3 linked regions of the Lepisosteus oculatus genome follow. The protein of the gene in region 1 interacts with the protein of each later gene in a biochemical or structural test. Links are inferred from orthologs where the notes say so. Each region holds a gene or a part of one and is shown on either strand. Other genes may lie near its edges.

The links. The genes of interacting proteins can lie anywhere in the genome.
Region 2: the proteins of ptenb (region 1) and rpl14 form a complex in vitro, tested with the Homo sapiens proteins (2 studies listed by BioGRID). The link is inferred for Lepisosteus oculatus from reciprocal best matches to the Homo sapiens genes PTEN and RPL14.
Region 3: of the proteins of ptenb (region 1) and nedd4a, one has a biochemical effect on the other in vitro, tested with the Homo sapiens proteins (7 studies listed by BioGRID, with this or other methods). The link is inferred for Lepisosteus oculatus from reciprocal best matches to the Homo sapiens genes PTEN and NEDD4.

The regions. Positions count from the first base shown.
Region 1 is NC_090699.1:21,661,896-21,673,190, reverse strand, and holds the start of ptenb (phosphatidylinositol 3,4,5-trisphosphate 3-phosphatase and dual-specificity protein phosphatase PTEN), read left to right. Parts: upstream 1-6,864; 5' UTR 6,865-7,708; coding exon 7,709-7,787; intron 7,788-11,295. UniProt on the Homo sapiens protein: Dual-specificity protein phosphatase, dephosphorylating tyrosine-, serine- and threonine-phosphorylated proteins.
Region 2 is NC_090705.1:43,036,007-43,046,505, forward strand, and holds rpl14 (large ribosomal subunit protein eL14), read right to left. Parts: upstream 4,133-10,499; 5' UTR 4,035-4,132; coding exon 4,032-4,034; intron 2,298-4,031; coding exon 2,196-2,297; intron 1,924-2,195; coding exon 1,829-1,923; intron 1,459-1,828; coding exon 1,359-1,458; intron 964-1,358; coding exon 910-963; intron 151-909; coding exon 88-150; 3' UTR 48-87; downstream 1-47. Other genes in the region: entpd3 (ectonucleoside triphosphate diphosphohydrolase 3), read left to right, coding at 10,286-10,405.
Region 3 is NC_090700.1:45,802,651-45,813,755, forward strand, and holds the start of nedd4a (E3 ubiquitin-protein ligase NEDD4), read right to left. Parts: upstream 4,133-11,105; 5' UTR 3,317-4,132; coding exon 1,805-3,316; intron 1-1,804. UniProt on the Homo sapiens protein: E3 ubiquitin-protein ligase which accepts ubiquitin from an E2 ubiquitin-conjugating enzyme in the form of a thioester and then directly transfers the ubiquitin to targeted substrates. Specifically ubiquitinates 'Lys-63' in target proteins.

The DNA of each region.
Region 1 (11,295 bases):
GAGAAAAATGATACAATATTTCCTTCAAGGCTAAATTTGCCGTTTTTAAAACCTGAACTGATTTTACCAAGTAACTATTTCTGTATTTACTCTCTACTATGCTTGCATGAAGCAAATTACTCATAATCCTCAAAGGCTTTTATCGAGAAAGTCAGCCCAGCAGCCTTCTTCAAAATGAACTAACACAAACCAGAGGATACAAGTGATGATGACACAGAAGTGTATTTAAATGTGCAAAAAAGGCCATCTTTATCCACTTCTTTATCCAAAGAAGAAAATGAAATTACCCAAAAGAATGCATGAATATGAAACAAGCTACCAAACCATGTGGCTGTAGTTGATACTTAAGCTTCAGTCAAAAAAAAAGCTAAATGAGATACTTGGCTCAATTAACTACTAACTACCAAAAGGGCAAGATGGGCTGAATGGCCTCCTCTCCTTTGTATCCTGTCTTATGTTTTAAATAAAAATATTGCAGACAGATATACTAAGAATTAGACATGTGGCTCCTTGTGCTCTCACCTTCTGAGGGCTGGAGCAGCTGTCTTACTTAACCCTCTCTTTTCAAGAGACTAGCTTTCCTGCTTACATAAGGCTCCTCTGGGCCTGCACACATCTGAGCCAACAAACTCTAAACACCTTTGCATTTTACAAAGCCAGTCAAGTAAATTACACTTAACACTTGTCACAAGGTAAATCATTAATTTAAAAATGACATTAATATTCGTTGAACCCAGCAGAATCGCTGTACTGCTTATCAGAATGATTACTCTTCCTGCGTTTTTTCGATTTCTGTTGAAGGTCTGTCTCCGGTCTTGACAGCACAAGGAAAGAAGGCTTTATCAGTTAATATGTACTGATTGGACTGTAATAATATAGAGGTATTCTCTGGAGTACTGTGGTGGGAAACACGGCGAAGGGTGTTATTTGGCACGACAGCTTTATAACAAATAAAAAGTGCACTTTAAAGATCTTGGACGACTTGAGCTGCTAAGGCTAAAGCACTTCAAATACACCAAAGGAACTAGGCCGCCGGCTGCACAAACCTACAATTCTATTTTTATTTTCAATAAAAAAGATCATACAATTTCCAAATGGTGCCCATCTAGAAGAAATACTATATATATATAGATTCTGGAACTGACAGAATATAAAAATGATCTATGCTTTTCTTCCCAAATTGCATAAAAATAATAAATAAGGCAATCTACAAAAAACTAATCGGAGCCATTACTGTTAAAATGGATATTCCGATTGCGTTAACAAAATTTCACTTACTATAAAACACTTTTTTTCTAAGATGAAAACCTTACACTTTAATTTATCACTACCACGGCCTGACTTAAACCTTTTACTTTGAGACACGACCTTCTCGTCTTTTTCATCCAGAAGAAGCACGAAAAAAGTGAATTACTTAATGTCTTCAGTGTTATTTGTAAAAGAAAATATGCAATCGTAATTTTAACGAATTTAATGGCACGGAAATTGTAGTATTGTTAAATAACATACTCACCTCCACGTTACTCTATATCACCTCATCCACTCTTCCAGATCCAGGAAGTGAAAATAAAAGACACACTCCATGAGAATGGTGTCACAGCAGTTACTGCTCTGACGGAACCTATGAGCTGTTTTAAAACGTTCCTCTATGTATCAGTACCTTACGCTGTTAGTCGATTTCAGGCACGAGTTAACTTAAACATCTCACATCTTTGGCTGAATCTTGGATCTTGGATCTGTCATTTTCGTCTTATAGTTTAAACAATCACGCGGTGATGCAGAAGTACAGCTGCGGTTCTTTCAACCCTGTGATGGGACGAGAGTTCAAACCGAAGACTCCCACGATAGCAGATTAATCCGCAAGGGGGTAGTAATATCACAACGTGTCCGTTTGAGAGAGCTGAAGCGCTTAAATCAGACTGTTTAAAGTATAAATTATACTGTAACGCAACGGGGGCTCAGGCGGGCGCCCTTGCCGCATTAGGTCGGCCCCTGCACCGTCCGGGGCTCGAACCCGGGACTTCCGCGTCTCTCTGCAGCGACCTAGCCCCGTGAGCCAAAGAGAGATCTCTCTACAGCCCAGTAGCTGTGGTCCTGCTATCACAGGGAAGGGCGGTGACGTCACCCGCTCTGGTACGCCGGCTCTTACACAGTGCCTGTCGGCCGTAAGCGTTACAATACTATAATTATTTACGTCACCTGTAGATCTGAAGTTCAAATACGAAACCCACCTCTCCTCAATTCACTTACATTTTGTAAAGAACATAAGAAACAGGTGACGTTTTAATCTCGACGATATTTAAATTTAGAATTGCACTAACTTCAAAAATGTGTTGCCCATGTTACGCCACTGACTGTCAGTACAGGCGTACAGTATATGCGTGGAGTGTGCCGAAATAAAGTCTGAGCTCTTCAAACTCTACTGGTCACAGGTTTTAAAAATCAGGAAAATCTATAATTAGAGCATAGCATTCATATACAGTAGATATATTCATACATATTATGCACATACAGTACATTAATATACAGACACCTATAGAAGGCTCCACAGCCAAAACGGTGTCTCTTTTCTTTTCAGCACGGAATAAACCTTTACTTGTTCCTTCATATACAGCATATGTGCATTCATACACATACAGTACATGATACAACAATATGATACAGTTATTTACGTTTTGTAAATATAAATATAAAATCTGTACTATTTTACTTTATACTATATAATATATAGCAATATAGTGTATATACTACATATAACAATTCAGTTTTGATCTATCAGATTATTTAATTTTATATTGTACACCACACATTCTTGAAGAAAGAAAATCAAAGTATGATTATCTGAACATTTGCATAAGTGAGTTAGATGTTGTACATATACAATATAATTTTTTATGATCATCTTTTTTTATGTTCCTGCTGTAGTGTTGACATATCTTTTCTGAACCTGCTAATCACATGGAAACCAGTCAATGTATTTAAGCAGAAAAGTCACATTATGGCATAATTGCTCACCAACAAAAAAATAACCTGTGTGTTCTGAGCTTGGGCAGCACTGCGACATGGTTGGTGAACTTTTTCTTCTTCACAGCTGTTGCGGTTCTGGGTTTGATTCCGCCTTCTGTGTGGAGTTTGCATGTTCTGCCTTCTGCAAGAGCAACTGTTCTCCTGCCATTTCCCCCAAAACATGCTGATAGTGGTTAACTCTAAGTCATTCTTGTGTGTGCCCTGCAGTGGGCTGGTCAGGGTATGGTCCTGCCTTGTGATCTCTGCTACCAGCTTCTGCTAAAGGTTGCCACAGCCCTTACCACGTACAAGTCCATGTATGATGAGGGAACTTCTCAATGGCATTTCCTTTAATTGTTTACTACACAGAAGAAAAGTCCAGACAATTTCATGCAAACTGTTAATATTTTAAGATAACTGACAAGTATTCATAAATAGAAATAGTTTTATATAATATGATGCATGTAAACCACTTTTAAAGCCAGGTGTTAAAGGTTTTACAAAGTTCAAATCAATAAAGTGACAATAAAGAGATTTCATGTCAGAGACATAATTCACTAAATGCAATGCCTTCTCAGTCCCCAAAGCAGCTGATAGGAATGATAGGAAGGCCTTATAGTATAAAAATATTTCCAATAAGCTTTCCTGAGGATCAGTTCATCTGAGCCATGGTGTTCCAGGTAATCCCATTTAAATACACTAATTGTACTTTGAGTATTAACTAGGCACTGAAATGATAATTACAGAGGAAAACAGCCACTGTATAATCTGTATTAGATTTTTTTACAAATAAAGTTGAAAGAAAAATGCAAATGCTAACATGAGTTTCCTTTTCTTTGCTAATCAGAGATTTAAAGAAATCCAATAAATTTAGTCAAAACAGTAAATCTTCCCATTTTGACCATGCCAATACCAAACCACGCAATTCCCTATTAGGGGTCGGTAATGATTAATGATAAAATTTCAACATTTGTTCCACTGGGACTCAACAACTACTGTATCTCTCAGTCTGGTTATTTTTCAAACTACTGATATGGCTTATATTCAGCTTTTCCTAAATAAGATGAAGAGCCAATCTAAAAATATAGTCTGAAAAGCTTTGCATCTAAATCTTAGATCATTCTGTTTCTCTTTTAGGGTTTGAATATAGTTTCTTCTAAGAGCTGAGAGAGCACAGAAAATACTTAACAGCAGCTGTTCACAAAATGCACTGAGATTGACCTGCATTTAATACAGATAAAAGTTCTGATGGTTTTGATCTTATTAGATAACATTAAAATAATTTTTGCTGCTTAATACAGAAGTGTCAAATATGACCTTCAATTAGAACTGTTCTTGTACCATGGCTAATAACCTTCAATTAAGTGGCCTATGGTGGCTATGAAAATAATAGAGAAGATCTTGACATGTCTAGACATGAACAGGTGAGCTGTAGTATTGCCTTAGTCAGTCATAGCTGTCTCAGATGATTTACCGAACATGCAAAAAAAGAAATGTTATAGTATCAACCTTACACATATATATGTTAAGATCCCTATGAATTGCGTCTATATGCAAAACATGTTTTGTGTCCTCTATGGAAAACATTTTGTCCTTCATGGTTTCTTGTGGATTTTTGACACGATTTTCATACCTTTGGATATCCCTCTGGCAAAGCCTGGAACACGCTGTTGAAGCCAATAACCTGACTTCATTCAAAAATGTCTGGCTGAGACCTCTGGATTGTCTACTATCAAATGGGCTTGATGGGTTGAATGACCTTGTCTTGTTTGGGTTTTTTTTAGGTTCATCAATGAGGTCTACATTCCCATAATGCATATTAGAGAATTATGAAGATGTACAAATCTCTTTCCACTTTATTTGGTGATTTGTCTGTACGCTTGATTTGCAAAACCTAAAACAAGTATTTGAAAAACAAGTTTCTCTGTGCTCCTTTCCATGTAATTAGGACTTCTGAATTTCCTCAGACGGGAAACTCAGAAAGAACATACCAGCTGAGCAAGTAAAACAATGTCCTTGATAATTCAGAAAGCTCTTCTATCAGCAGGGTTTTCCAACTTTTTTGCCTACCTGCATGGCTTTCACAAGGTCAGGGTGTTTCCTGTGTATTAGTGAATTGGTATTCCATTTATATACAGTATCATTTTTTTTTCAGATCTCAGCTACATTTGATAAAGGTCTTTTAGGTAGTACTGGAAATCAATTTAAATGCTGTGAGTTACATTCTTGAATGGCAGTTTTTGAGAATCATTGTTTTTTATTTTAAAGTTATAACGTCACATGGATTTGTGTTAGCCTACAAATACTCCCATCTCACTATGAGAGCAAAAATGAGTTATCAGCTTGTAAACAGTTTTTGTTCCAGAAAAGCCAAGGTGGGAATATGAAAAATGAATTTCTCACATCAAAAAAAATGATATAGCAATTTATTGCCATATAGTAGTGCAAGCACTTCCATAGGTTAAAAGAATTTAGCAACTGATAATGATCAGTCTCTAGATAAAAATATCAGTTTATTTACATTTATTTTAAACGTGCTTATACACAAGCAGTTTAAGTTTAAATAAATTGTAGAATGGTTGCATTTTGATTTGTTTTATAAATTCTCTCAGTTTGTTTGCAATAACTAATTCTCAACAAAAAAGGATTGTTTAAGTCCAACTGGTATAAAAGTGATAAATAAACATTACTGAACAATTGGATTAAACTTTTCTGACATTAATGTTTGCATGTTTAGTTGTTGTCTGCATGATTCCCATAATGTAACCCCTTATATTTGATATATTTGACATATAAAGTATTCCCATCCTAACACTAACCCCAAGCAACACAAACCTTAAACTTGCATTTATAAGTTATTGTAACCAAGGAACATGGAGTAATGGTGTTTTCACTTCAAATAATAAATACTGTAGGCGAATGCAGATCTAAAACATTTACTGGTTTATTTATGTTTTCTTTCTCTAGCTATAAAAAATAACAATACAATGCCAAAAGAAACAATTGAAAACAAATCTAAAAATTAAGCCAAAGTCTCTTCAACCACAGTAAGGACCTTAACATATTTTATTTGTGCTCTTAACAGGTGCTGGGACTAGCGTTTTAGACATGTTTAGCTAACAACGTCAAGAGATAACGTTCCCACATCGCTTTAAAGTCTTTAACACGTCAAACCAGTGAGATTCTTGACCCCGTCAAACTCCAGGACAGGAAAAAGCAGCCGGTCTTGTTTCAACGTGTCATTCCCGTATAACCTGAAAGGTGGCGCCATGGCATAAGTCTTTACCCCTATGTCGTTCACTAGAACGTTCTACAAAAAATAAAACCCAAATAACGAGTATGTGCTTTTAAAGCACATCTCTTGGACCTCGGACTGTAGATGTATAGGTTCATGTCTCTATTTTATTTTTTGGACTTATATATATTATATGCTGGAAGACAGTGCCACAGATGACTGTGTGTGCTACTAAGTGACACGCCTGGCTTGGACTGGTTTACTTGATCTGATTTTACTTTTCTTGCTTGCGTAAGCACTTTACAAGTTGTACTGGGTGTCACTGCTAGCTAAGTTATCTGTGATTTTTTTTTCATTGATGCCATTTATTTTCGTTATTATGTAATGTTTTTGTTCCTCGCTCACACAGAACACTTCGCAGACGCTTGTAATAATTATCTCTGATAGACTTCAGAAACAATTGGACGTTTTTACGTATGTCAGCAAATCCCTGGCCTCCTAATTGTAAAAAAAGAACCTCAATTATTAGCGCGAAGCAAAGAAATAAAATATTGGAAACTTCCCCAATTACCAGCACACGTGACCTGCCCTTGGCAGAGAGGAGAGTTTCCCTGCGGTGTGCCTGTGTGTCCTTCCGCCCTCACTGTAGCCGCTAGTAGTATGTCAACGAGGCGCACTACGTCGGGTTTAAATGCGAAATATTTATTTTCGGGACACATTTTTCCGTTGCCGGTTTCTCTGTTGCGTGATCGGGACACCTGCGATTAAAGCGGTGGTAAAATCACAGCCACAGCAGGACTATTTGTGCACGGCGGCAGGATATATGGTGTAACCCAGTTTGTCTTTTTCTCTCGGAAGCCATGATGGAACTTTAGAGTTTTTTTTGCTGGAGAGGACGGAAAAAAAGGAAGGAAGATCGTCTCTATATATATTAAAATATTTTAAGCCCCTTTTATTATATATATTTTTTAAATTTTAAGGTGGAGGCTGTCAGTTTTTTTTCCCTGGTGTTTTGGACGAGGACGAGGATATTGTGTGCTTGGAGGGTTTCTGGGGGGGGGGGGGGATTTTAATATATATATTTTGTGTGTGTCTTGTCACAATTTTTCGGGGTTATTTTTTCGGGATCGCTGGAGAGGCTTTCTCTCCGCTTTTCTTCGCCTCAATCACGGCGGCGGCGGCGGATCTAGAGACTTGGGCCGTATTTGAAAGCTCACGGTTCGGGAACTGGGGGATCGCGGGAGAGATTGCGGGATCGGGGAAGCCGGGCCCGCGGAGGAGCGGCGAGAGGAGGCCCTGCCAGCAGCCATTCTAGTCCAGCCCGCAGCCGCAGGCAGCCGCCACACTCGGGCAACTGCGAGACCCGGGGAGCGAGCGGGGGAGACCGGGGGACGGCCCTTTCCACAGCCCGGGGAGGCAACGATACCCTCTCTTAACATACAAGCCCTAAAGACTCCTTTCACGGCGATGGCTGCGATCATCAAAGAAATCGTCAGCAGAAACAAAAGGAGATACCAGGAAGATGGATTCGACTTGGACTTGACCTGTATCCATTTTATACATATTTTAAGTATGCATATACATGCATGCGTGTCGGCATTTTAAACATTATTCTTAGGTATAGGGGGCTGAGATCCGATTCATGTTGAGTGGAATATAATGTTTTTGAGTCGAGGTCTTTTTTTAAATAGAGGTAAGTGGGATGTGGACGAGATCTGGATAGTTGCAGCTCTTATGGCCGGAGAGCTTTCACATTTCGCTGTAAGTGGACATTAAAACGGTTCCTGATCGCACTGGAGCATTGTGCGGGTAAAACGCCGTTTTCTTTCAGAAAAAGCGGCGCGGATGTGCGTTTTAGTGCGGTGGAGAAGCGATAAATGAAACGGAAAAGGAGCCCATTCTCTTTCGCAGTGTGACGAGGTCTTGGCCTAGATAAGGGAATGGATTAGATTAAATTCAAAATCACTGCTACACAAAGAGACATTGCATCAGCAACCTGCAGAAAACCAGTAGGTACGTGTCTCTGTATTGTGTGGCCAAATTAAATGCTTAAAGGTCTGGAAATATGCTGTCATTTAGCCAGAATCGAGGTTGATAAACGTGTGGTGGGGGTGGGGGTAGGTTTGGCTAATTTAGCCAGCGAGAAGAAATGTGTTGTAAAATATGCGTAGATGTCGTCTTTAGTAAGTCTTAGAATTGCAAATAGCGGGTTTATAATCGGTGTGGGTTTAAAAAGATGGATGTGTTGCCTACGGTCAGTAAAACACGGAAAGGATCAATTTAAAATAATCGGCGGTGGATTTATATATCGACAGGGACCCTTTCCAGTCTGTCGTCGTGTTTTCCAAAAGGTGGCTAAACATTCATGTCGTGTCGTTTGGGAATGTCATTTCACAGCTTGGCATCGGCGGTCTGTGAGTATCTGTGGGTCCAGCAGGTAAACCGTGCGGCTCCCATCCCCAGGCCTGCTGCCTTGGGTACCTCCTCGACAGAAACGCGGTTGACTTGACACTTCCACTAGCAGGGCGAAAACATCTATCGATTATCAGCGAGGTCCTCCGGGCACATCATCACCGGCGATGGCAGAGGCGTTTGATCTTGTTTAAATTCTCTTGTCTGTGGAACGAGAAATGATCTTTGCGTTTTCTCAGTAGTTAATGTGCATCGCTCCTTTAGGTAGATCTGGATTACGATGAGTGCATTTTCAGGTAATTATAGGTGAAGTGCTGCAGTACTGCTATAAAGTGCTCCACTTTGTTAACGGTAAAACTGATTTTGCGGATAGTTGAATTAGAGGCTGGATAGCACCACGGACCTATATGTAATTGGATACCTAAAGCTGCTTTTCCTTCAGGTTAGTGGTACTTTCCAGGCCAAACAGTAGGCCAAGACTGTGCTTCAATCACATATGTACAGTAGTCTCGCAAAAGGCAAGGCATTACCACTCTTCCTACAAGAAGTTTACCACAGACTGTTATAGAGACATGAAGTGCTTTTTTCTTTTTAGATTGAGTTGCAAACACATTTCTTGGTTTCCAGTGTAGTGAGGAGAGACAGAGATGGGATCAGTCCGAATCCCCATAAGCAGAGAAAATCACAGGCCTTGCTTTCCACTAAGACAGCAGGGGCACTGAGCAGAGACCTGCTTGTCTCGCCAGCTGGATACTGAATCCTGGCTCCTGGCTGTACTATTGGGGCATGCCTTGACATAATCAAAATACTATGTACATAATTCGACACTTGTCTGCTCCTCAGTTTAGTTATGACAGTCTTTGTTGGAATTAGACATTGTCGACAGGAACGGTTTTCAATCAATGTGAAATTTCTTCCAGTTGTTGAAAGACATGGTTGGAGCTTAGCATTTTGTTTTTCTCAGATTTGTTCTTCTATGAAATTGGTTTTCACCATGCACATGAGTATAAAGAAAGAACACACAGGCCTTGTAATGAGTTCTAGAAATAGGTTTTGTGCTGTAGGCAGATGCATAAATTTCCACTGTATTTTGGTTTAAATGAATTACTAATTCCCACAGTCTCCAAAAAAGCTATTAACTGCTGAACAGCTGTAAAAATGTTGATGGTATTACAAGGCGTCTTTCAGACCTTTAGGAACCTTTTGTGGGCCTCAAACTAAAATATGCACCTTTAGTTAATACAAACTTCTTAAGTTCAAAATGTTTTTAGAACCATTTTTCATCTGTATCTTATGGCATTGTAGGACAGCACCTTGGGGAAAACCTCTGGGAGAACTGTTAGGATCATAGCTACCAATACTTGGATCTTCCCTTCTTCATTCAACCGGACCACTTGAAATCCAGCACGCAGTGTTTTAACAACAGAAGATGTTATTTCAATCTCGGGCTGCCATCCCTGCTGTTCAAACTGGAATATTGTCCATTTTGAGGGTCAGTGGGTGTTCTAACTGTGGGCAGGTAGATCACTTTTTCTGTACATTTACACCCCATCTGTTAACTGCCTCTCGCCCAGTTACCGTGTTTAAGGACAGGAATATAACTTGTCCTTTTCATCTCTCTGAGCGTTGATAGTCTTCCAGCTTTGGTTATGATATGGTCTTTTCCTGATTGTTCGATGGCTTTTTGTTTTTTTGGTCACTGTGAATTGAATGTAAGGCCCCGATATTGATGGCTTTCTATGTGCTAGCCCCCAGTGAGGCTGGTAACTGGTTTTCCTAATAAGTGTTTTTTTTTATGGGGGATGAGGGGATGGGTAGCCATTTTAGGATGCTTTCTTAATATGGTTTAAGAAAATGGAGAAATGTGTACACCTCTGTAACTGCATTGTCACCCCTTGTCATCTGATTGTTTAGTAGTGAGCTATGAATTGGTGTGTAGAGAATGTTGGAAAATTATGTCTAAGTGCTCGATTCTAAAGTTACTGGGTTTTTGGTAATGCTGGCATGCAGCTCCTGACTGAATTCCGGCTGAGAGTAAAGGGATTTAGTTAAACCCTCACCATGAAGGACTGCAAAGGGACGTGTTTGCAGTTGCAGGTGTCATCGGTGGTCCTTTTTGCTTTTTTTAGCGTTTTGTCAGAATCCTAGACTTTTATGGAAAAGCTCAGAAAAGCCCACAGTCCCCGTAGCGAGGTTATGTGAAGTGTACGGCTTCGGAATTGGCTGTATGTGCTTTGTTACGTGATCAGAAATGATTGTCACCTCTTTCTTAAGTATAGGCCTGTTTGTAAATGGTGGGCTTTCAGTTAATTTCCAAGCATTCTAATGTTAATGGAAATGGGTAAAAGTTGGCAGTTTTTCAAAGTGGAGTTATGGAAGGTAAGCTATGGGGGACTAATTTAATAAAAGGTGTCCATGTTGTTCACTCAATTGCTCTGGCCTTTTTTTTATAAACGTTGATTTCTTTGGCGATGCCCGATTAATGCAGGAGCTATGCAATCAGCATTTTGTCCAGAGGCTCTAACAGTTATGCTGGGATTCGTTTCTCACTTTGAGCCCTTTCCTTTTCTGTATTTTCTGAACTAGTGGTTTCGACCCTGGTGTGTATTTTCAAATGGAATTAGGCCTCGTCAAATGTAAGT
Region 2 (10,499 bases), on another chromosome or scaffold:
TAAAGTTTAAAATAAAAAAATATCTAGAAAACAAAAGCAAACCACTCTTCAGTTTAAGACAGCAATTTTATTTTAAATCTTAAAAAATTATGCTTTTTTCTGTGCTGCTTTTTGGAGCTTCTTCACCTCGTGCTTGATGATTTTGTTCCTCTGTAAAAACACAAGACCAAACGTTTAGAACTTGAGCAAATCAGCAGATGTTTTACTAATGCAAGATTCACGTTCTGTTTACAAACCATTCCAACATAAAATATTTCCAAATGTTTATTTTGATATGGTTAAAATCTCAATTCTTTGTTAAACCATGCCCACTGTCTTAATGAAACTCAATGCCTTAATAATTCACATTTGAGCTGTACTCAATTTATGAGAGGCATTTTAATAAACTTTGTTCACTAAATCTTGGAAAACATACTGCATGCAACTTACTGGTACTTTTAAAGCAGTTTATGAAATAAAGAAGCCTTTTCAAAAAGCACAGAAACATTCCCACAACCTGATCCGATCATGCTATGAAATGGATGCCAGGAACGTCTGAGGCAAGGATATAAATTAGACTGGGGTCATTTCAAGGACCTACAAAAAGTGACGTTATTCGTTGTTCTTAGTAGCATTTGTTTTAAACGTTTTTAGAGCAATTTTGAATTGCAAGGCACAAATGACTGAAAAGCCTTTTGTCTTTACACAAGTTTTTGGGAGGACATTTCAGCTTAAAAGTCTTCATTCAAAATCAAAGTTTGTGTACCACAAAAATCTTTAAGAAAAAAAACTTCCCTTCACTAAATAAAGTTCCCTTCATTTCCTTCACAGAAATGTTATTAAATTGACATTGAGGGCAAAGAAAAAAGGCACACCTGTCACCTGAGCCTATGAGAGAAACACCTTTAAATTTTTTCAAAAACAACATACCATTCTCTTGGCCTTCATCACCTTGTAACGGTCAAAGTCAGACATTTTGGCCCTCTGTAAATAAAGCAGAGCAGCAACCATAAAACAAATCCACTGACAAGAATAGAGAGCCTTCTGCTTCACGCTACACATTCAGCTATGCCCACTGCACGAGGAGAAGCTATCCAACTCATTGATTTCTAACATTTCTCTGCATTTCAACTGTATAATTCTCTGGGTCGTAATATTTATTTTGCAATGACAAGGCTCTGTGGCACAGGATGCAAACTAAACCAAGCACTTCAATCACTTCAATCAACTGAACAGTTTGCTCATGTCATTCAAACAGCACAGAGAAGTGCTGGTAGACCATACTCCCTTCCTGAATACGGCCTCTCTCTCCCAAAACTTTAAACTTAAACCTGTAAGCTGTAACTGTACATCAAGGCACGAATGACAAAGATACACACCTTTTGCCTGGCTTCAATTTTCTTCGCCCAGCTGGTCTCGACCCACTTCTCGTTAACCTGAGCCTTCTCCCAGGCACGTCTCACAAATTTCTGACGAGCACTGTGAAAAGGAAAGAGTTAAATTACTCAAGCCATACTAATACACTCTTTGGTATACAAGTCCACGAAGTTAACCGGCAGTATTAAATAACTCATGTATGGTAATTACCTGCATGTTCATTAAAGTTATGGGACAGCTAAAACATCTTTATGGAAAATCATCAATGGTTCTGTATTACTGTTTCTGCAATAGATTACGAACCGTGGATATTGATATTCTCAATTATTCTGTTATGTTTCTGATTCTTTGTTGTTGCTTCAAATTGCCGGCCTTTTCATCAGAAAGGTCTTTTGACACCAAGGTTTGACAGGCTCTTGTACCACCGTCTAAATACCCCAAAACAATCGAGAGGCTTTTCTTAAAAACGTACCTGTGTGGAACTTTGATGACAAAATCGGTGAGCTGCATGCACTTGAAGGGCATAGCCTGTCTTTTCACACCGGTGCACGGCCCATCCACCAGCGCCTACAAGACACACGGAAACAGAGGTGAAACCGAATGGCTGTAAGTAAAGCATTTACATTCTGTAAATCATTTCTGACCCAATACAAATTAAACCACAACCTGGACTTGATAAGCAGCAAAAAACAATAACAAAATGGAACTTCAGTCACAGGCCATTGAACCATTTAAATACGTTTAACCTTCTTATAATCAAGTATGGGAGAAGGACATCAAACAACACCGTCTTGAACGAGGAGAATAAGAACTTCCGAGGGGTAAAGCCGATCTCTTACCCTGTTCTGGTCAATGACATCAATGATGGCCACCAGTTTGCCTGCATGGGGGCCAAAGGACACATAGGCCACCCTGCCAATCTCAACAAAGCGCTTGAACACCTGCAACAGAACACAGTGCACGTACTGTTAGGCCTCCAGCAGCACAGCCCTGGGCACATCTGAGAGCTGGGAAACACACAGGTGAACACGGAACACACAGGACCAGCGGACCTCAACTCACCCCTAAAACAACCTGCTTAACTGACAAAAACCACAGCAGAACTAGAAGGTATAAGTGTTCTAGCTGTGAAAATTGCTAAGAACCACAACTGGAATGCCTGCCACTTCTATAAGTGTACAGTTCTTTATAAAATGATTTTACACATAATACTGTCTTTAAGAAGGAGGAGCCTACATGCAAATACACCTAAATGACTTGTCCAGTGTGTGTGGGGGCACAGACAATAATAATAATAAGAAGAATACCAATTGTTTACACTTATACAGCGCTTTTCTGGACACTCCACTCAAAGCGCTTTACAGGTAATGGGGACTCCCCTCCACCTCCACCAGTGTGCAGCCCCACCTGGATGATGCGACGGCAGCCATAGTGCGCCAGAACGCTCCCCACACACCAGCTCTCAGTGGGGAGGAGAGCAGAGTAATGTAGCCAGTTCATAGAGGGGGATTATTAGGAGGCCATCATTGGTAAGGCCCAATGGGAAATTAGGCCAGGACACCGGGGTTTCACCCCTACTCTTTTCGAGAAATGCCCTGGGATTTTTAATGACCACAGAGAGTCAGGACCTCGGTTTCACGTCTCATCCGAAGGATGGAAAAGGCTAAAAAAAGTGAACTATGCTCTGGCAGAAGAGGGAAAACCCAGACGGATTTGAAGCAGCAGCTCTCCCGGCAAAAGGCTTGAGTCACCACTGAAGAGCAGTAAGAAGGAGATCTAAACTTCGTAAACTGAGCAGTGAGGCAGGAGGTAAAATCGATCCGTGTTCAGGATTTACAATGGTTTTACTGGAACATAAGAGAAGTTTCGTAAACCTTGCAGACCCTGGATTGAAGGGCGCCTCGGAGACATACGGTGCTCAGGCTGCAGCAATGAGATGAGGCTTCAAAGCGCTTCGGGATCAAGCAGTTAAGTCATGTGGTTTGTCGTGCGATACGAAAATATTACTACAATTTAAGAGATCACTCTCTCAAGATGTGATCAAGTTTTCCTTGAAAGAATATTGCACAAATAACTACAATTTAGACGTTTACACGATTTATGTTGGCACAACATAGACATCATTTAGGATGTTATTCAAAATATTACCACACGCTACTGAAAGCCAAAAAAATGAGACTGGGTAATCGTAACGGATAAAGACCAGAATAAACTGAATTATTTCAACAAAGCACTCCCGAATGCCGTAACATCTCTTATACACAGAACTTACTAGATAATATATATTTAAGCGGGTCTTAAAAAGCACAAAACTAATTCTCCAACAGCGTCCACACAGCAGTTACAACAGAAACAAAAGAAAAAAAACTACATTGGTGCAAAAAGTCAACTGTACACGTAATTAAACACACAATTAAGCGGCTTTTTCCTCCGAAAAGGCCGGGCAGAGTTCACTGCAGGCCTCCATCTCATGGCTGGTCTCACCACGCTAACAACCCCCTAGAAGATTCTTCCACACATTTCAGCGCAACGATCCACAATATCGACGTCTTTCCACTGCATTTCTCTTACGGCACCTTCAGAAAACGATCCTAGGCTTTTACACCTTCACATGCGAAAAACATCCCGACGAATATTCTAGGTTTTCCACCCCGCGAGTGGCCGCATGCACTCACCATGTTGGCGACCCAGACAGAAAGGACCACCGCACTTCCGCTCCGCTCAGATACGGCCTTCCGCCCGCGGAGCCGCTCCCTTCTGCGCAGGCGCGCCGTGCGTGAAGCCGCTGCGCGGTGACGTCAGCGAGGGGCTTCTCCGGCGCGACTGCTCTGTCCCACTCCCTTTTGTGTATATCTTTTTCATGAATGTCAGAGGTACTCGAAATGTTGTTAAAAGAAAAACATTTTTTTGTATAAAACTGTGAGCTGAATTTTAGTTTTTACAGGGAACGCATGCATATTGAAACTAAAGTTTATAAATAATTGAGAGATATTAAAACAAGGAAAATATGATACGTTTAAAATATACAATTTGATCACATAATTACTTAATTACCTCTGATAGTTAAATATTTTTTTTCTGCTACATTATTTTTCTCTTGTACATGACTCTGATCCTCTTGTTGTATTTGTATTTGTAAATTTCTTTATGTTTAATAAAAAAAAAAGAAAAAAAAATGCTCTGTCCCACTCCGTGCGTTAATTAACAATTAGTCTGTTAGCGCTGTTATGTATAGATGATCACATCCGCAGAACACAAGGGTTTAGCGCTACTCCCTTCTGTAACGCCTGCGAGAGGGAAAAGTAATATGACTTGAACTCCATTAAAACCTCGAAAAATAACAAGGCAAAAAACACAATTGATGTATGTCAAAATTTTGACTTGGGTCCTGATTTAATTACCTCTGGAAGCGTACTGTTCTGCGCTTTGTTTTGTTTTTTCTCCCTTATCCTTTTTTGGGGGATACATTTTCTCCTTTGTGTTATTTGATGTTAGATTAAAAAGTTTTTTTTTTTTTTAAAGTGCTCGGTCCTGTATACAGGACATGTACACATGCACCACACCGTACAGTTCAGGAACCTGTACAGCAAACCAGCGACTTGACTCGTGTTTGCCTAGGTCTAGGATACCAAACTGAGCTCCTGAGCTCTAGACGTCGCTGTCCGCTAGTTCTTGACATGCAGCCGCCTTGACTTGCGAATCACATCTGTGTAATAACATCCTCAAAATGTTGCAAAGGAACAAGTAATACGTTTATTCCATGCTGAAAAGAGCAGAAAAAACAACGTTTCGGCCGTGGAGCTTTCAGAGAGGAGAAAACAATAATATTCCTGGACTGCACCACCAGAATTATCAGTTAAAGGCTTGAAATAAACAGATGTTTTTGTACAACTGTCAGCTTTATTTAAAAAAAAAACTCTGGTTGGTGGTTTGCTTTATTTGCTTTTCTCTATGAACAGCCTTCCCATTATGACCTTCCTCTCAACGTAAGCTCTCTTTAGAGCTAAAACAACATAGAGCATAGGGTTATCTAATGGCAGAGACACTTGTATTAGGTGTGTTCTGCCTACACTAGGTAGAGGAGAATAACATTCTGTTGACTGAGAAAGATGTAATGATAGCCTGGTGTGATTTAAATTGGTTTAAATTATTAATTACTACTTTAATTTACTTGCAAACAAATAAGCACCTTGTGCATCATGGCATTTCTGATTAAGGATGATTTTTCCACATACTATGTTTATGTCACATTAATGTTATGCTCCCTTTCAATTTGCATTTACTGTATAAGAGGACTCTTCTCACACAAGTTATGATTTTCAGTTGAACACAAAGCAGCCAGGGGGTTTAAACAAGTACAGTATGGGTTAAAAATCAGGCTTACAGTTCTTGTATTGCATTTGAATTTTTATAATTTGTGATAAAAAAAGAGAAAATGCTCAAATACAAAAGTGTGATGCTTGTATTGGAATAAAACAAGTGGTAAATCACATTAATATTTAGTGAGAAAATTCTAACCGGAGTTTCTAAAGGCTTGGATAGCCTTTATGTCTCAGTTTTCAAATCTAATTAAGAAGTGTTCTCTTTCTGGCTCTTTCAGACAAATGGATATCAAATCATATAACCAGTTGCTAAAAATAAGTTACACTTCAGTGTTTGATGAATTAGGAGAGTAAGTCAGTTTATTTCTCACAATTTCCTTTCTATCTGAATGCATCTGGCACATCCATTTGTTTCAGCTTCACATTCCAGTAATGAAGCTACCGTTAAAGTTGATTAAGGGATACCTTTAGTCTTTTTCAGTTCAGTAAAATTTTCTTTTTTATATGCTCCATCGAATGAATTATTAGTTAAGTTGAATTTTAGTTGTATTCTTTTTTATGTCACTTATATTTTACAGGTTGATACAGATTGGTGACTCAACCCCTTTAGTTCCTCCCAGACAACAGGCTGCATCCTAAGGTTTCTGTTACATCACACAAGCTGAGGCAGTACCAGAGCCTATCCCAGACAGGATACACCCTGGAGGAGACGCCAGTTCATCCCCAGGCACACACAGACACAGACACAAACACACACACACTCACTTCAGGGTCAGTTTTCCCAGAAGCCACTTAACCCACGAGCATGTCTTTGTGCTGTGGGAGGAAACTGGAGCAGCCAAAGAAAACCCAGATGAACATGGCAGAACATACAAACTTCACACAGACAGCCCTCCAAGTCCAGAATTGAACCCAGTGCCCCAGCACCTCAAGGCAGCAATGCTGACCACTGTGTACTGCCCTCTATAAAATATATAATCAATACTTTTATGTATAATGTTTGAATCAGATGGTTACACCATTTAAAAATTTCAAGATGTAAAAAGTCTAGATTTCCTCATTATTTAAAAAAAGCTGTCATAGAACACAATTTCTTCTTTTGTAAATCTGAACATTTTAACAGTCCTATCCTGTTCCTGAGGAATTTTGAGAGATCGTGTGAATTTTTAATGTACACTTTTTGCAGAATGAGTGAATCCCATTTAAAGACAAAGACAGATCACGCCTTGCTATAGTAAGGTTCTGTGTTGTAGGAAGGTCCTTTTGTGGAATTAAAAGGGACTTATGTGTGATGAGTGATGACTTGTAGATAAAGCTGCAGTCATGGTTCTTCACCAATCATAAAACTTGTGCATGTTCTGAAGGTAGCACTGAGAATCTGGGAGTGGCCCAAATGCATATAGAGCACTGATCTAAAGCACAGAATCATCCTTGTAAACCACGATCAGCTGAGCAGAGGCAGCCAGCCCAAGTAAATCACTGAGAACCTATATTTAGCAAAGGAAAGTAATGTGATTTTAAGAAGGATTTTAAGAAGGACCTTACAGAAAGGTAAGTGGACCATTAGGAATGTACTGTATACAACTACATTTCGGGATATAAGACATTTTATTTCTGTAGCATTATGCATAATGCGTGTTTTAAACTATATGGTGCTTAAGGTTCCTTTCTTGTAGACGTGATTTGCTAATCCTAATTTCTCTGTGAAGTAACTGAATAATTACGTTACATTTAGGGCATTGTATTACCAACTATCTATGCAGTAAATCTTACTTTGTCATTAGGCATATCTTCACCTAAATTACTTCAGTGGGGTTAATGGAGAAAACGAAATAATTTTATTTTTGATCCAAAATGCTGTGTGATTACTAACAATATAAGAAAAAGGAAAAGAAAATGTGTTCATATTCTCTGCATGTATAAACTTTTTATTTAAGCAGCTGAAAAGCACAAGGTGCATGAACCCTTTTAATACCTGAAGGTAATTGGTTCAATAACTGAAAAAAAAAATTGAAATGTTTTAATGTAATTTCCATTTTAGTATTTTGCATTTTAAACAATATAATCTGCTGGAGACTTTAGGAATAGATTTTTTTTACTTTGGCATAAAAAGTCAAATCAATATATGGGTCAAAATAGTGTTATTATTTTATTATATTGTCATATCAATGGTTATTTGAAAGTCTTATTAAAAATTGTATTTTATGTTTTCAGTATGAACAGGGAACCTGTTTCCAAAATTAAATAATTGTTTTATCTGCATTAAATCCTCACTGCTGGTGATGCAGAGTAATGTGATGGAGGCAAACTATCTTTGTCTACTTCTGGCAGAGATACAAACACAGCTGTGCTGGTTGTATATGGTTTCCTTTAAACTTAAAGAGGGTCCCCAACCTTCCATCACAGCCTTGTCCAGAGGCAGACTCTTTCAAGCATTTCTAAAAGATTACAATTCCCTGTGCCTTACCAGAATCCCGACTGGAACCCGGAGGGATGTTGGTTTATTTTATGTTATAATCTACATTGTATGATCAGGCTCCATCACTGTTTTTTTGCAGCTAATTGTTTTAATGTTTAGAACACCAAGAGAGCAAAGCAATGCATACAGGTACTGTAGAAATGTGTGCCAATCTGTGGCACTCTAAACAAATGCATCTCTGCCATAACCCCCTGGGGAAGAGGAGTAGCAATTTTTCTCTTTTTTGAAAGATCGCAGTAGTGTTCTTGCAAAAAAAGTTTCACACTACCTTGTATTGCTATTCGCTTTTTAAGAAGCTGTAATGAAAAGCTAAAATGACTATGAAACAATCAAGAAATAAAACTTAGTGCAAATAATGCTGCCTGCCATTTTACATCCATTTTCTACCTGAAAGAAAGGCGGTTTCTAAAAACAGATAATATTTGAAAAATCTTTAGATATGTCTGTCATACCAGCATAAGTAACCAGTGGTTCTTGCTTATTAGGGGGGAAAAATTATGGAACAAATCCATCAAAATAAAATCTATCAAAACTGACATACTAACAGTTTGAATACGCTAACTTAATCTAAAATATTCTGTCAATTGTCATTTGCATTTTAAACGAGTTAAAAGGACACATTTTAGAGTAAATGATGCATTTGAGTAAGGCATTGAGCCATGTAAGGCCTAATAGCAACTAAATGTTGACACATTCTAAAGTACTTAGGAAGTAGTGATCTCAGTCAAATGTATTTATTAAATAACACATTGCCGACCGACAGAAAGGAAGTCTCTTGAATTGAAGAAGTCTCTGATTAGAATTAAACAACTGAGAAATAAATTCATGTTGATTTTAAGAAACAGAAGTTTCATTTAGCAACAAAAATGGTCAAATGAGTAAAACTGTTTATGTCAAATTCTAAGTGCGTTAAAATGTGAAAAAGAGAGCAGACAATTATGAGGAGGCTTGTACTGTATGTGAAGACATGCAGAAGCTGACTATAAATCTGATTTGTGAGGTCTTACAGATTCCTGGCTGTTCCACCTCATTGCAAATATGTGTCTAGGTCTCTCCCGTTGAGTCTCATCTGCTATGACAGCACAGTAGATGATAGGTACCAGGAATTGTCTTTAATCTTGTTTGATCTGATATCTGTCAATTTTAAGTGAAGTATATAAAAATATCAATCTTAGTTGTGAGAAAATAGCAATTTAGATGGCGTTGTAAGGGGAGACAAACTTTTAAACAAATATTAAGAACCTACACAATACTGAGAACAGCAGTGAGTTCTTCACATGTTTTTGTGAAGCTATAAAGATATTTTAAGACATTATTGGAAGTAAAAATGTAGATACCTTTTTACATATGCATTTATATTTAATGTATATGCATACACTCACTGGTTTACAACCAGAATTGCACTTTAAAAATAGCTGAAGTAGAAACATAAGCTACAGAGTGAAAAATGAACTTTGTAAACAGCATTTAGAAAGCCCTTTTTCTAAATAAAGATGCATATTTACAATTCCGTTGTTTGTGAACTGTAACCCCCTCCCAAAATGATAGCATTCAGCAAAATGTACCTCGTCTCATCTGACTGTGGTAAACGTTTGCCGTTTTTGGAGGAGAAGTGAATCGGAGAGAACTTCATCTGTAATTATTGTATTTGCTGAGGTAAGCAGAGGTATACTTTATTGCTGACACATTGTTTTCTATTTTTACTGCAAACAAGATCCTCCCTGGAGTTCAAACACAAGTATTTGCTCATGTTATTTTCACCATGTATTCAAATTAGTCAGCTAAGGTGTGTGAAGGAAACACGGCGGTCATGGGATATCCTTCGCGAAATTGTCGCTTTTGTACCTTCTCCTAGTGGAAAACCGTCACAACCGTCACTGTATCACTGTGTTGGAAAAAAGATGGGTTAGAAACACATAACACATAGAATGTGTTAGAAAAACCCGCAAATGGGTTTAATAAAAAGAATGTAGTACGAATTCCAGCGCATGACTGTGAAATCCATCTTCCTTTAAGCTTTTATCACGAGAATGGGTATTTTTGTTTTGGTCGCCCTTCAGAGAGCAGCAGTGAAAAGCTTTTGCCCTTCTTGTGCCTTCAGTGCTGCTGGTCATTTCTGACACAGGAAATGGCTTCCAAGCTGGCTGCTGCTCTTGCTCTTCTTTTCCTTTTGACAAGCCTGACCGTCATCGTCACAGTGGCCATTATCCAGATTCATAAAACTCACTACTTGTCACCAGGAGATAAGGTAAGACTCTAAGGTATTAATAGCATGGTCTCATATTAAGTTGTTCAATTTCAGTATTCGACTTCAATTAAGTATGATGCAGCCAACTGGAAAA
Region 3 (11,105 bases), on another chromosome or scaffold:
CTGTTAAACACAGAAAGTCTGTTACCCAGTGCTTTACAACCATGGGCTGGCAGGGAGACACATGGGAAAAGCAGCACGCAGCCCTTTTAGTGTGCCACAGACACAGGGCTGCATCACCCAGGCCCTGATATAATTTCATGACCCCAGTGTACAAACGGCTGACATGGCTGAGAGCTACTCTAATATCAAGCTGTTAAATTTGAATCCAGGGCTTGTGTATCGCTGTGATGGGCCAGACTATCTGGAGTCAAGAGACATACTTCTGAGGCTGTTTATTTATAGGCGGGGTCTCTTTTCACAGCTAAAATTAGAATAAATATATGAAGTGTGCACGCAAAAAGTGTTAACAGAATAATAAAGGAAAGCCATCTGTGTTCACATTAGTTACTTCATTTCCAAAACAGGATCAGGAGGGGTTGATTTAAGTATTTAGCATCCTTCATGAAAATTAATAAAGCTGAACTTTCAACTCCCATCAAATGTTTGTCCACATTGGTATTGTTTAATGTTCTAGATGAGGTAAAATTACTTTCACAGCTATTTAACCAACAGGTACTGGCTTCAAATATCCAGTGCTCATACGAGCTGATTGTAACTATGCAAATGCTCATATTTCACATCTGCGTAATTTAGGGATATAAATCTATTCCTTGATAAAACTGCACTAGAGCGCCTGAGTATCTATTCTACAATACAGGACCTATGTTTTGCATTATGACATTTAACTGGAGAAACGGTACTTGCATTCCCACTGGCTAAAGACTTACTCCTTTTAATTTATTGCTTTACTTTAGGAGGAACACTGTAGAAGGGTTTATAACTAATTTAAAGACCCAAAACATCACAATTAAAAAATAAGTATTCTAACAAGTGTGTACTAGTTTTACATTTTTTCTTTAAAAAACATTTCATAGCATGTTTGCAGCAGCTGTATATAGCCTAACTGCATCAACATTAAAACTGAGCTACAGCTCCTACTCTATCCTGCTGCTTTTACAAAAGGCAACTTTAGTGTTTTGTCATTTATGAACCAAATTCTTTGCAAACTGCAGTACAAGAGGTTAATCACAGACATAAAAAGTGGCTACGGTTTCTGTTCCCGAAGGATACGCCACTGACACACACCTGAAGGTAGCTCACAGACGGTCTGTGTATTGCAGAGTTAGCTGGCAGTCTTTGTTCTAACAATGAAATCAAATGCAGAACCGCAAACAGCAACCGAGGTAAGAGCACAGTACAAAAGCTACCAACTTGTTCTCCTATCACTTCAGCAGGTTTCGGAAATTTTTAGGGGATGTGGTTTTTAAACTGCAGTAACTTAAGAATGAAATGTTTCTTTTCCAAGTCAAAATGACACATTAACACTGACATTGTGGCAGAACCAAAAGACGGACTCAATCACCATAAACCTTTATCAACAGTTTCCTCACCATCTTGTAACCATCTGTTGTTCTCGGTTTTCTTCTCATGAGTGATCAGTAAAAATCTGGTGCACATAATCGGTGCACGGCAGGCACTCTACTGTATTTGCTGCATGAATGTTAGCTAAAAGAGCAGAGGTGTTTAATACTATTCTGAAACTATAATGTGTATTTATTTTTTGGTTGATGTTTTTTTCCCACAGTTGTGAAACAGTTTTATGGGCAACTGTTTCACAAAGGTATCTAAAACACAACTTCCCATTTATGATACCAGACTGTGCTGAAAGATTACATGTAAACTTTGTCTCGTGACAAAAGGGAACTGAACCTCGAGACCTTTTTACTCTTCTGTACAGACCAGGAACATGAACAAAGCAGCTTACCTTGTCCCTTTTGCCAGGGCTGCCTGTATCATTGTCAGCCTTTGAGTTTCTGTTTATTTCCTTCAGGGAACCACAGACCCTTCCTTCAGCCCCAGGAGACAAATGAATGTGTACATGAGGGGGTCCCGTCTTCGAATTATGTCTCCTGGGATTGGAAACATGGCATGAAATATGTTGATATGGCACCTCAAGGGAAAGGCTCCTCTGCAGAGCATGATGACGACCTTGGTTTCCTTCCTTTTTGTCTTCTGCCCTAAAGCCAACTTGGTAGTCAGGACTCCTCTGCAATGGGAGATATGCCGATGTGCTTCGGACGAGTTTAATGTGGCGGCACAGCGGTTCAGTTTCGAGTCCCGGCCCTTGAACAGCTTGCTCAGAAGTGCTGTGCTGCCCCTGTGTCATTGTCCTCACGCTCTCCTGGGCAACTGCCCGTTGCCGAGAGAAATGCAACAAAATGCTCGCGTGTCGTTCTGATCGGTCACAAACAGCTGTACAGTCCTGACCAATGTCAGTTTCCCTGGGTTTATCTGGCACTGGTGTGTTGAGATGCAGTGGCCTTATGTCCCTGAGTTCCACAGTGGGACAGCTGCTTTTAGACAACCGCAAGCCACTGAGCGCTGTTGCGATGGAGCCTTTGGATGCAATCTGATCGTCCTCTTGTGCAGACTCGCCGGCAGTCAGTGAGAACTGGTGGGAGGTTTGGTATGGACCACGCATCGGTGCAGGCCCAGGGCTAACTGGAGAGGCTGGCGGCGTGTTACAGGGGCTCCGTGGGAAAATGACTAAGGAGGAGCAGCGCCTCAGCGGTACCTTGGCCTTTCGTCTCGTGAAAGTCCTTTCAGGCCCTGCTGGGCGTTCAGGGATGTCAGGTTCGAAAAATGTACTGCTACCACTGCAGTACCCCGCATCGCTAGTTGTGCTGCTGCTGCAGGAACCTCCATCTATGCTTGGGCTCGCACATGACGCAGAATCCCCACTGCTTGTGCTGCTTTCATTTGCGCCAGAGCTGAAAGAGGTGCCTTCATTCCTGGTACCAGTCAGACAAGATCCAAACTCACCTTCATTACAGGAAGCATGATCAGCAGCGGGATAGTGAGGAATAGCACCTGTGTCATCGCTGACAAGTTTGCTGTTTGAACAAGTTCTTCCATCACCTGAAGCACGAATAAAACAGCCATCATGAACAGCCGCAGGGCTGATGCAACTTTCCAGCTCTCCGTTCAGTTTGCGAGGCTGCAGGGAAATTTGCAAAGAAGTGCTCTTTTTGCTGTTGTTTACCTTAGGTATAAAGACAGATGAGCAGCGCTGTAAATTTCCAAACTCTGGTGACAAGGGAGGCAAAGCCAGCTGCCCTGGAGTTACCTTCATTTGAATCGAACTCTGCCCTCTGCTCTCTGAAGGGCTCCGGGAGGACACGCTGAAGTTTTTCTCCACGCCATTGCTGCAGGTCTCCGATAAAGGGTCAGTGTTGCTCCTTCTGGTTGCAAAATGCAAGCGAAGCCGCTGTGCCATTTGTCTTACTTTCTAATCCTGTAAGCGAGTGGAAGGCATAGCAAAACCCACTTGAAAAGAAGCAAAGCAACTGCTTCGGATCCTGTTCTGTGATTACAATCATTAGTAGCTGTACATAGCCGAAATAGCTCCAGTGACAACTTACATTCCTCTCGTGGCTGTACTGAAGTTATTAGCCAGGGAGGTCAGATGAACTCTGAAGTGTAAGCACAACCAAACGAATAGCTCCTGAGACTGCACAAATCCTAATGGTCTGTATCTTTAAGGAGCCAAGGTACATTCAGTCACAGAGAACAGCATTGTAGCAACTTTAAAGGCAGAGCTCAGCTGCTGTACTGAACCCAAGCCAAAACCTCGCTTCAATTATACCTTCTCCAATTTGCACGAACGAATCCAGCCCAAAAAAAACAATCTTCTAGCATTTCACATTCAAGCGCCACAGTACTTCTCTCTTCTGCTCCAGGCCAGCCGAGCCTTTAGAACTGCTTTAAGCAGCAATGTGTCTGAAGTTTCTTTGCTGCGCCGTAACACCACTAATATTTTTACCCGTTGGGATAGAATTACAGGAAATCAGGAAGAATGAGGTCCAGCATAATTCAGTATCAAACCAAGGATTGAATTCCCAAATACTATCCATACTAGAAAACCACTGGGATTGTGCAAATATGCAGGAAGCTACTGGTAGTTATTACTAACTGCAAATGAACTACGCTTGTAAAATGATGTCTGTTTTCCTGTGAAGCCCTTTGATGAAGAGATAAAGCACTGGAAGTAGCGATGTTTACACTAAGCATTCTCCAATGAGTTACCCCAGCTATGAAACTTGTTTTGCTGAAAATCATCCATTTCACTGCCCTAATAAAGCCCAAAATAAAACTAAATAAAGTTTTCAGTATGAAGGCGAATATTCAAAACCTTAAAAAAGAATTTATTATTTTTACAGAATATCTTAGGAAAACATTCACCACATCTACTGACATCTGAAACCCTTTCTACTGTCTATCTACTTATGCTACTGTAGATCCTTATATTTCTTTTGTCTGAGCTACATAACTGGGAATCATATTTAAACCCTACAGAGAGGAAGCAACACTTCCTGACACAAATTGACACGGCACTCAACACTGATGTACCCATTAGCACCTCTAAAAGACTCAGCCGATGGAAATATCCCATAACGGAACCCTATTTGATAATCCTTAGCCATTTCACTTAAAGGCAACGTCAAGACTGCTCACCCCCTTATTATGCGGTGAGCCCTGGAAGATTCTCAGTAGGGTGTTCTTAAATATCCGTAATTCCACAACTGGCAAACCACCTGCCCGCTTTAAGTATTAATCAAAGCCGACACCAAATGTTGGAGCTGGGAAACTGAAGAGCTTGCCATGTTCTCACCGGACTCACCACCACTTGGTTTTTACTCTTGAGAATGGTTCCAAATCTCTCACAGCCTATACAACTTTCTTTAAATCCGGGGTGTCCAAACACACTAATAACATCTGAGGAGACCCAAACTCCATCTATAAATTTTTCCTCCACGTACACTTTCAACATCTGTTCATTATTCAAGGCTGCAGAGCATTTGTGAATTAAATCAAGTATATTCCCCTTACAGATTTTTTCCTTGCATATTTGCAAAAAAGTTTCTTGCCATATTAAACAATAGGACTGACAAAGAGGGAAAAAAAGAACAGTATTATTATTAACTCTTAGTGAGAAAGGTTCCTTAGCTAATAAGAAACAGAACGCCATCTTCCTATGTGGGAGTTTATTTAACCTTTATGGTAATTTAGTACAGTGGCCAGTAACATAAAAAAAAACATTTCATGTTCATACTTTACTGCTTTTAATGTGCTGACAACACATTCATTTACACTTTTAATAACACCCCCGAGCATATTCCATTTCCCTTACCTGCATTTTGTAGCAATAAAATGCAATAAAAGGTATACTGGGTCATTCATTGCAAGTTAACACACCAAATAGCTGAGATATTTATAGGCATAGCCCATGGGTTCACAAGAAAAAAAAAGATATACTTCTAAACCTTATATTTTTCATTTAGGTTTTGATTAATTCACAACCGATGAGAACTCCATGCTACTATATACAAAGAGACATTTATCCAAAACTTAGTATTTGAAACTGCTTCTAGATGTTACAAAAACACACCCTTGTTGTAAAATCAAGCCTGAGAAATACACCAAGTCAAAGAAAATGTTATTTTTAGCATACTCAAAATCCTGAAATATTTTTGTAATGATTAGCACACTCCACTACGTAGTTATTGGCTTAGAAATCTGACAGTATTACTAAATGATTTTTCATATTAAAAAAGATGATACAATAACTACAGTCAATTATCCAGCCAGATTATCTAATTCGTCGCATAGCACTCTAATGTGTGAAAGATGTCAGTTTTTCTGAAAAGTCCAGCACGTGTAATTGTTCTCAAATAATTATTCTCAAACTCCTAACAAAAATAAAATGCAGGAAGAACTACACAATTTTCTATCCGCAGTCACAGCAACAAATACATGAATACAAATATATAAAAAATGAAGAGTTATAGTGGGCTTTGTGAATGCAAAACATGACTATGTTTACAATAAACTTACCAAACGGTTTTCATCAAACACTTCAAAGAGCAAGCGGTGCTTTCGGGGATGAACCTGAAAGAAAGAGATTGGTATTTACATGCTGTACACAAGTAGTGAATAGCAAATGTATGTATTTAATCAGCCATCCATTTTCAAACCAGTTCATCCAATTCAGGGCTGCAGGCCTATCCCAGCAAGGAATGAGCACAAGGACGGATGCCAGTCCATCACATGGCACACACAGAAACAAACACATACTCACACCAGGGCCAATTGTGTCTTTGCACTGTGGGAGGAAACCCGAGCACTTGGAGGAAACTCAAGTGAACGCAGAGAGAACACACAAATTCGAGGCAGACAGCACCCCAGGTCCAGAACTGAACCCAGGGCCCAGCAGTGCGAGGTAGGAATGCTAACCACAATGCCTTTGTGCCACCCGTACTGAATCATATCTTTGTTTTTCACATAAAGTAGAATTTAATACATTTCAACCAAATATCAGGTAGACAATAACACAATAAAGAAACAGTATGAAGTGAGACATACTCTATGTTCATTTGCTACCGTTTTTGTCTAATACACACAGAGAGTAACATGAACTCTTTTTCTCATCCACTTCACATTTTCCTTTCTCTCTAAGAAATTCTATTATCAGAATTCCTGTTTTGTAGTGGACACTATGCAAAATTAAAAAAAAAAACATTAGCATTTCATGTTATTTTGTCTAGACTTTGTCTAGACGCATGTGAAAATAAATATTACACTGGCAGAAAGAAAGACAGCACTGTAATGAAATATTAGGCCTACACCCCTTTGGTGGACATTTTTAACATTTATCTGACAACAAACAAAACAAAAGAAACCTTTCAAGTTAATTTCCAAACCAGTACATTTATCTGTAAGCACTGGAAAGGCAGGAGACCATTTCAATCCATTCAGTACCCAAAACAAGACAAATGCATCCCAAAAGTCCACAAATTCAGTGTTCTGCCTAAAGAAAGGCTGAAGCCTCTCAGGTGGCTATTGTGGAATTATATCATTATTTAGGATGTGGGGGGAGGAAAGACCCTGAAGTTGGCTTTACACTGATTAAAGAGTAAATAAAGAGTTTACAAGCAGCTCAACATGTTGATGTTCATTAAGCATCTTCAGGGTTACTTTCTCTGTCCACCATGAGGTATGGCTCCTCTTTCTCTTACTTTCCCACAGACCTCCAATCCAGAAAAAAGTTTGGCCACTAAATTTTGGTAATTTCTCAACTGGGTGATCCGGTTTTCTCACTGCTAACAGCTACTGTGCACTGAGGAAATGGAAGTCATGTCATGGCATTTGCCGAACCACTTTATACCTTACAGTGTTGCAGAAAGCTGGAGCCTGCCTGGCAAGCAACGAGCGCAAGGCAGGGTACACCCTGGACGGGACGCCAGTCCATCGCAGGGCAGGGGCAACCCAATCATACATGGGGACAATTTGGGGGGAAATTTGGCCTGAACACTAGGATAACTCTCTACTCTTATCGGGAAATGCCCAGGGATCTTTAATGACCACAGAGTCAGGACCTCAGTTTAACATCTCATCTGAAAGACAGCACCCACTACAGTATAGTGTCCCCACTACTATACCGGGGCATTAGGACTCACACAGACCACAGGAAGGGTGCCTTCCCTCCTGGGAAGACCAGACTGACCACGCTCAACCCTGCTTAACTTCAGTGGGTAGCCAGTTGAGAGCTGCAGGGTGATATGGTTGCTGGCCAAGAAATGGAAGTATTCTGAATAATTTAATTTACTTGGCTGACAATTTTATTCAAAGCCTTGTACATTTGCACAGGGTTGGAATTTTACTGAAGCTAGGACCCCGCTCAAGGGTACAACAGCAGTGCCCCAGCTAGGATTTGGACCCACAACCTTCCAGTTAGGAATCAAGAGTCCTACTCACTCCTCTTCACTGACACTACAAGACACAGAGTAGCTCTCAGGCAGCTAAATCTATAATTACCACACTGGCATTATTTCATGTCTTTAAAACTGTACGATTTAATGCGTAACCCTAAACCTTTGACCAGATGCAAATCTGAACTCTAACAAGCACACCAAAATAGCTGACTGCTTAATGGGGACATAAAAATGTTGAATTTCACACCTGTTAATCTCTTACAGTTATACTACCATTATTAAAAATTTAAAGAGAACACACTCTGGAATCAGATCCTTTTATCAGCAGCTTGCTGTGCATTTTAGTGTTTCCCATACCCAAAAGGAAGGAAAAAAATAAACAGATGTTTATCTTGTTGTAAAGCTAAAAATAAATAACTATAAGAAAATAAAAGGGGTTACGGAATAGACAAAACCACTTTGAAGCTATAACCGATTCGATGATCTCATTCAGCATTTCTTGAAAGAAGCCAGAGTACCGACTTCAACCAGCCATGCATGGCTGGATAGTATGTTCCAGACCCCAACAACCCTTTGTATAAAGACCTCCTGTTCTCAGTTTTATATACAGTTTACACTTGTGCCCTCTGGTTTGTGTTTAGCTTCCAGCTCTGAGGAAGGCCCTAACACAGTTTTCATTTTTTTATGAAAACTGTGTTAGGGCCTTCAAGAATTTTGAATGTTAGAATTTTCAGTGTTACTTCTTTGCCTTTTTTTCTCTGTCCATGCGGAACATTTCTTTATTGATTCAAGAGTAACCAAAACTGTACACAATAATACAAATGCAGTCTTATTAGTGTACTGTACAATTTTAACTTCAGATTTAAGTATATATTCTTGTGACATGATTTTTTTTCTAGATCTAGAAAAGTCTAAAAGTTTTGAATGATCTATCAACATGAACGCTTAAGTCTTTTTCATAACTTTAACACATCCAATCTTACATTTGTACTGTCTTTTTCTACCTGCAAAAATAATCAAAATGTCTAAATTAAATGTAGTGTGACAAGTGAATGCCCTAATATCTTTAATTTCATTGATGTCTTCTTAGAATTTCCTTTGCAAGTTATTCAGTGTATGCTAATCATATTATACATATTCTGTCTTTTGTAAAATTGAATTTCAACAGTATCTCATCAGAATCTAGATCTTAGAAACTGTACATACCAGAATGAGAATGAGAGGAACCGCAGGTTCAGACATTTGGTGTCTGTGTTTGGCCGAGAAGCCAATGGTGTGAAGCTACCACCTGTGGGATTATGACTGAACGCCTCTACGCCAGAATCCCCCTTAAACGGTGTTAATGAGTAGGAGTCCTAATACAGATCACTGCAGGCAAAGACACTCCAAGAGCTCATCTCACCAGCTTAATCCTATTTGCCCGAACACTGATTAATACTCTTCAAATAACCATGTGGTGCCTAGACACCACATCCTTTCACATGGCAATCATTATAAAACTATCTGGCTAACGTGCAGCCTAATTTCAGCATGTCCAGAGAACACTGTAAATACATCCAACAACACATGAAACTCTACGCCAGTCCCTAAAATATTTTAGCTTGTGAAGTCCAACTAGCCTCAGATCCAACCTACATATCCTTCAGCAAGTCCTGGGTGAATTTCTTTTGAATGGAGTCCAAATCATGCCTCAGGAAACATCCTACCTCCACTCCATATACATTACTGTGTATGTGTAAAGTAGAACTGAGAACATGACATATATATTTTTCACTTCGTAATGAGCCCAGCAAGACTCTCACTGACACCAACGATACTTTTTTTCATTTTATTATCGCATTTATTAATCAGAAGGCAGTGAAAACAAGCAAGGAATTGATCTCTTCCACATGTTAATACTCAGGGAGTTGCCCTTGTTTGCAAAGACGATTGCGATAACTTTCAATGTCGAAAGCAGCAGCAATCACAGGACCGTAATCCCCCACCCCATTTCAAAAACTCTTATCAAATCTCCTTTTTTTAAAAACTGAAAAATACAATTCCACAAATTTTTTAAAATATATAAAGCCCATAAAAGCAGTGGGAAGATGGTGAGAGATTTAAACCACACAAGCTATAATATTACATTTCCAAAAGCTTTTTAACGGAAATGGGCTTCATTTTTCACATTAGTGGAAAAAAGACTGCGCCACAGCGGTGGTGCCCAGCCCTAGTCCTGGAGGAACTTCTAGTTTTTGCTCCAGCTGGTTCTTAATCACAGGCTCATTGATTTCAGTTTTCCGTTTGCTCTCAGCTCTTAATAGGTCAAATGAGATTTGTAATTGGCATTAACCCTGTACCAGCTGCTGAGTTTCAGAACTGCTCGAAATGGAACCAATTGGACCTCTGGAAATATACTCATCGCAGTAGTGTCACTCCCACCTGTGTCTGTTCATAAACTGATCAATGTCTCTTCTGTTTAATCAGAAATAATATCAAGCAAGCTGAGAGTATGTGAAGTTCTGTGCGCCGATGTTGCTGGGAACAGCAGCAGCCATGTAGCAGGGTGTGTTTTGAGTCTCTGAATCGACCGAAGAAACATCGTTAAATCTCAACAATTAAACAAATCAATTAAAACTGGTGATTTAGTGCTCAGCTGAATGAAAAAAGGCAGAAAGTGTTCTTCCAGGAAAAGGGCTGAGAGCCACTGAGCTACACTACATTAACCCATGAGTCTCAGACTCAGCTCCTGGAGGGTTTTTGTCATTTAGCGCTGGTTACACAAGACATTAAGTTCAATAAAAGTACACTTACAAACCACACCAGAGCCTGGATAGAGTTATTACAGTAATGAAGCCAATTAAGTAATTAGACCAAATATATAACTGAGAACAGGAGCAAAACAAAAAACAGAAGACACCACACCCTCCAAGCATCAAGTGTGAGACCCTAGTCTAACCCTTTCCACAGGAAGGTGTGTTCTTCTTCAAACAAGCATGCTTGTAAGCAGATGAATGCAGAATGCTGGGAACTTACAGGGGATACATGCTACAGGGGATTCAACTGACAGCATAAATTCTTGACATCTTGACAAACTAGCTTTAAAATTGCAAGATTGTATTCAGCAAATGTGGTTTTCTGTTCCTCTTTTTGTTTTCGATGGTTGCAAAAGAAATACATTTCAACAACCACAACTACAACAAAAAGACTAAGGCTGTGGTCCTCCATATGTTTCAGTCAGGTGAAGAACGCTGTGACAGGACTCTTTCATGTTTCGATTAACAGAAATGGTTTTCAGTACTTCTGAAAGTTATT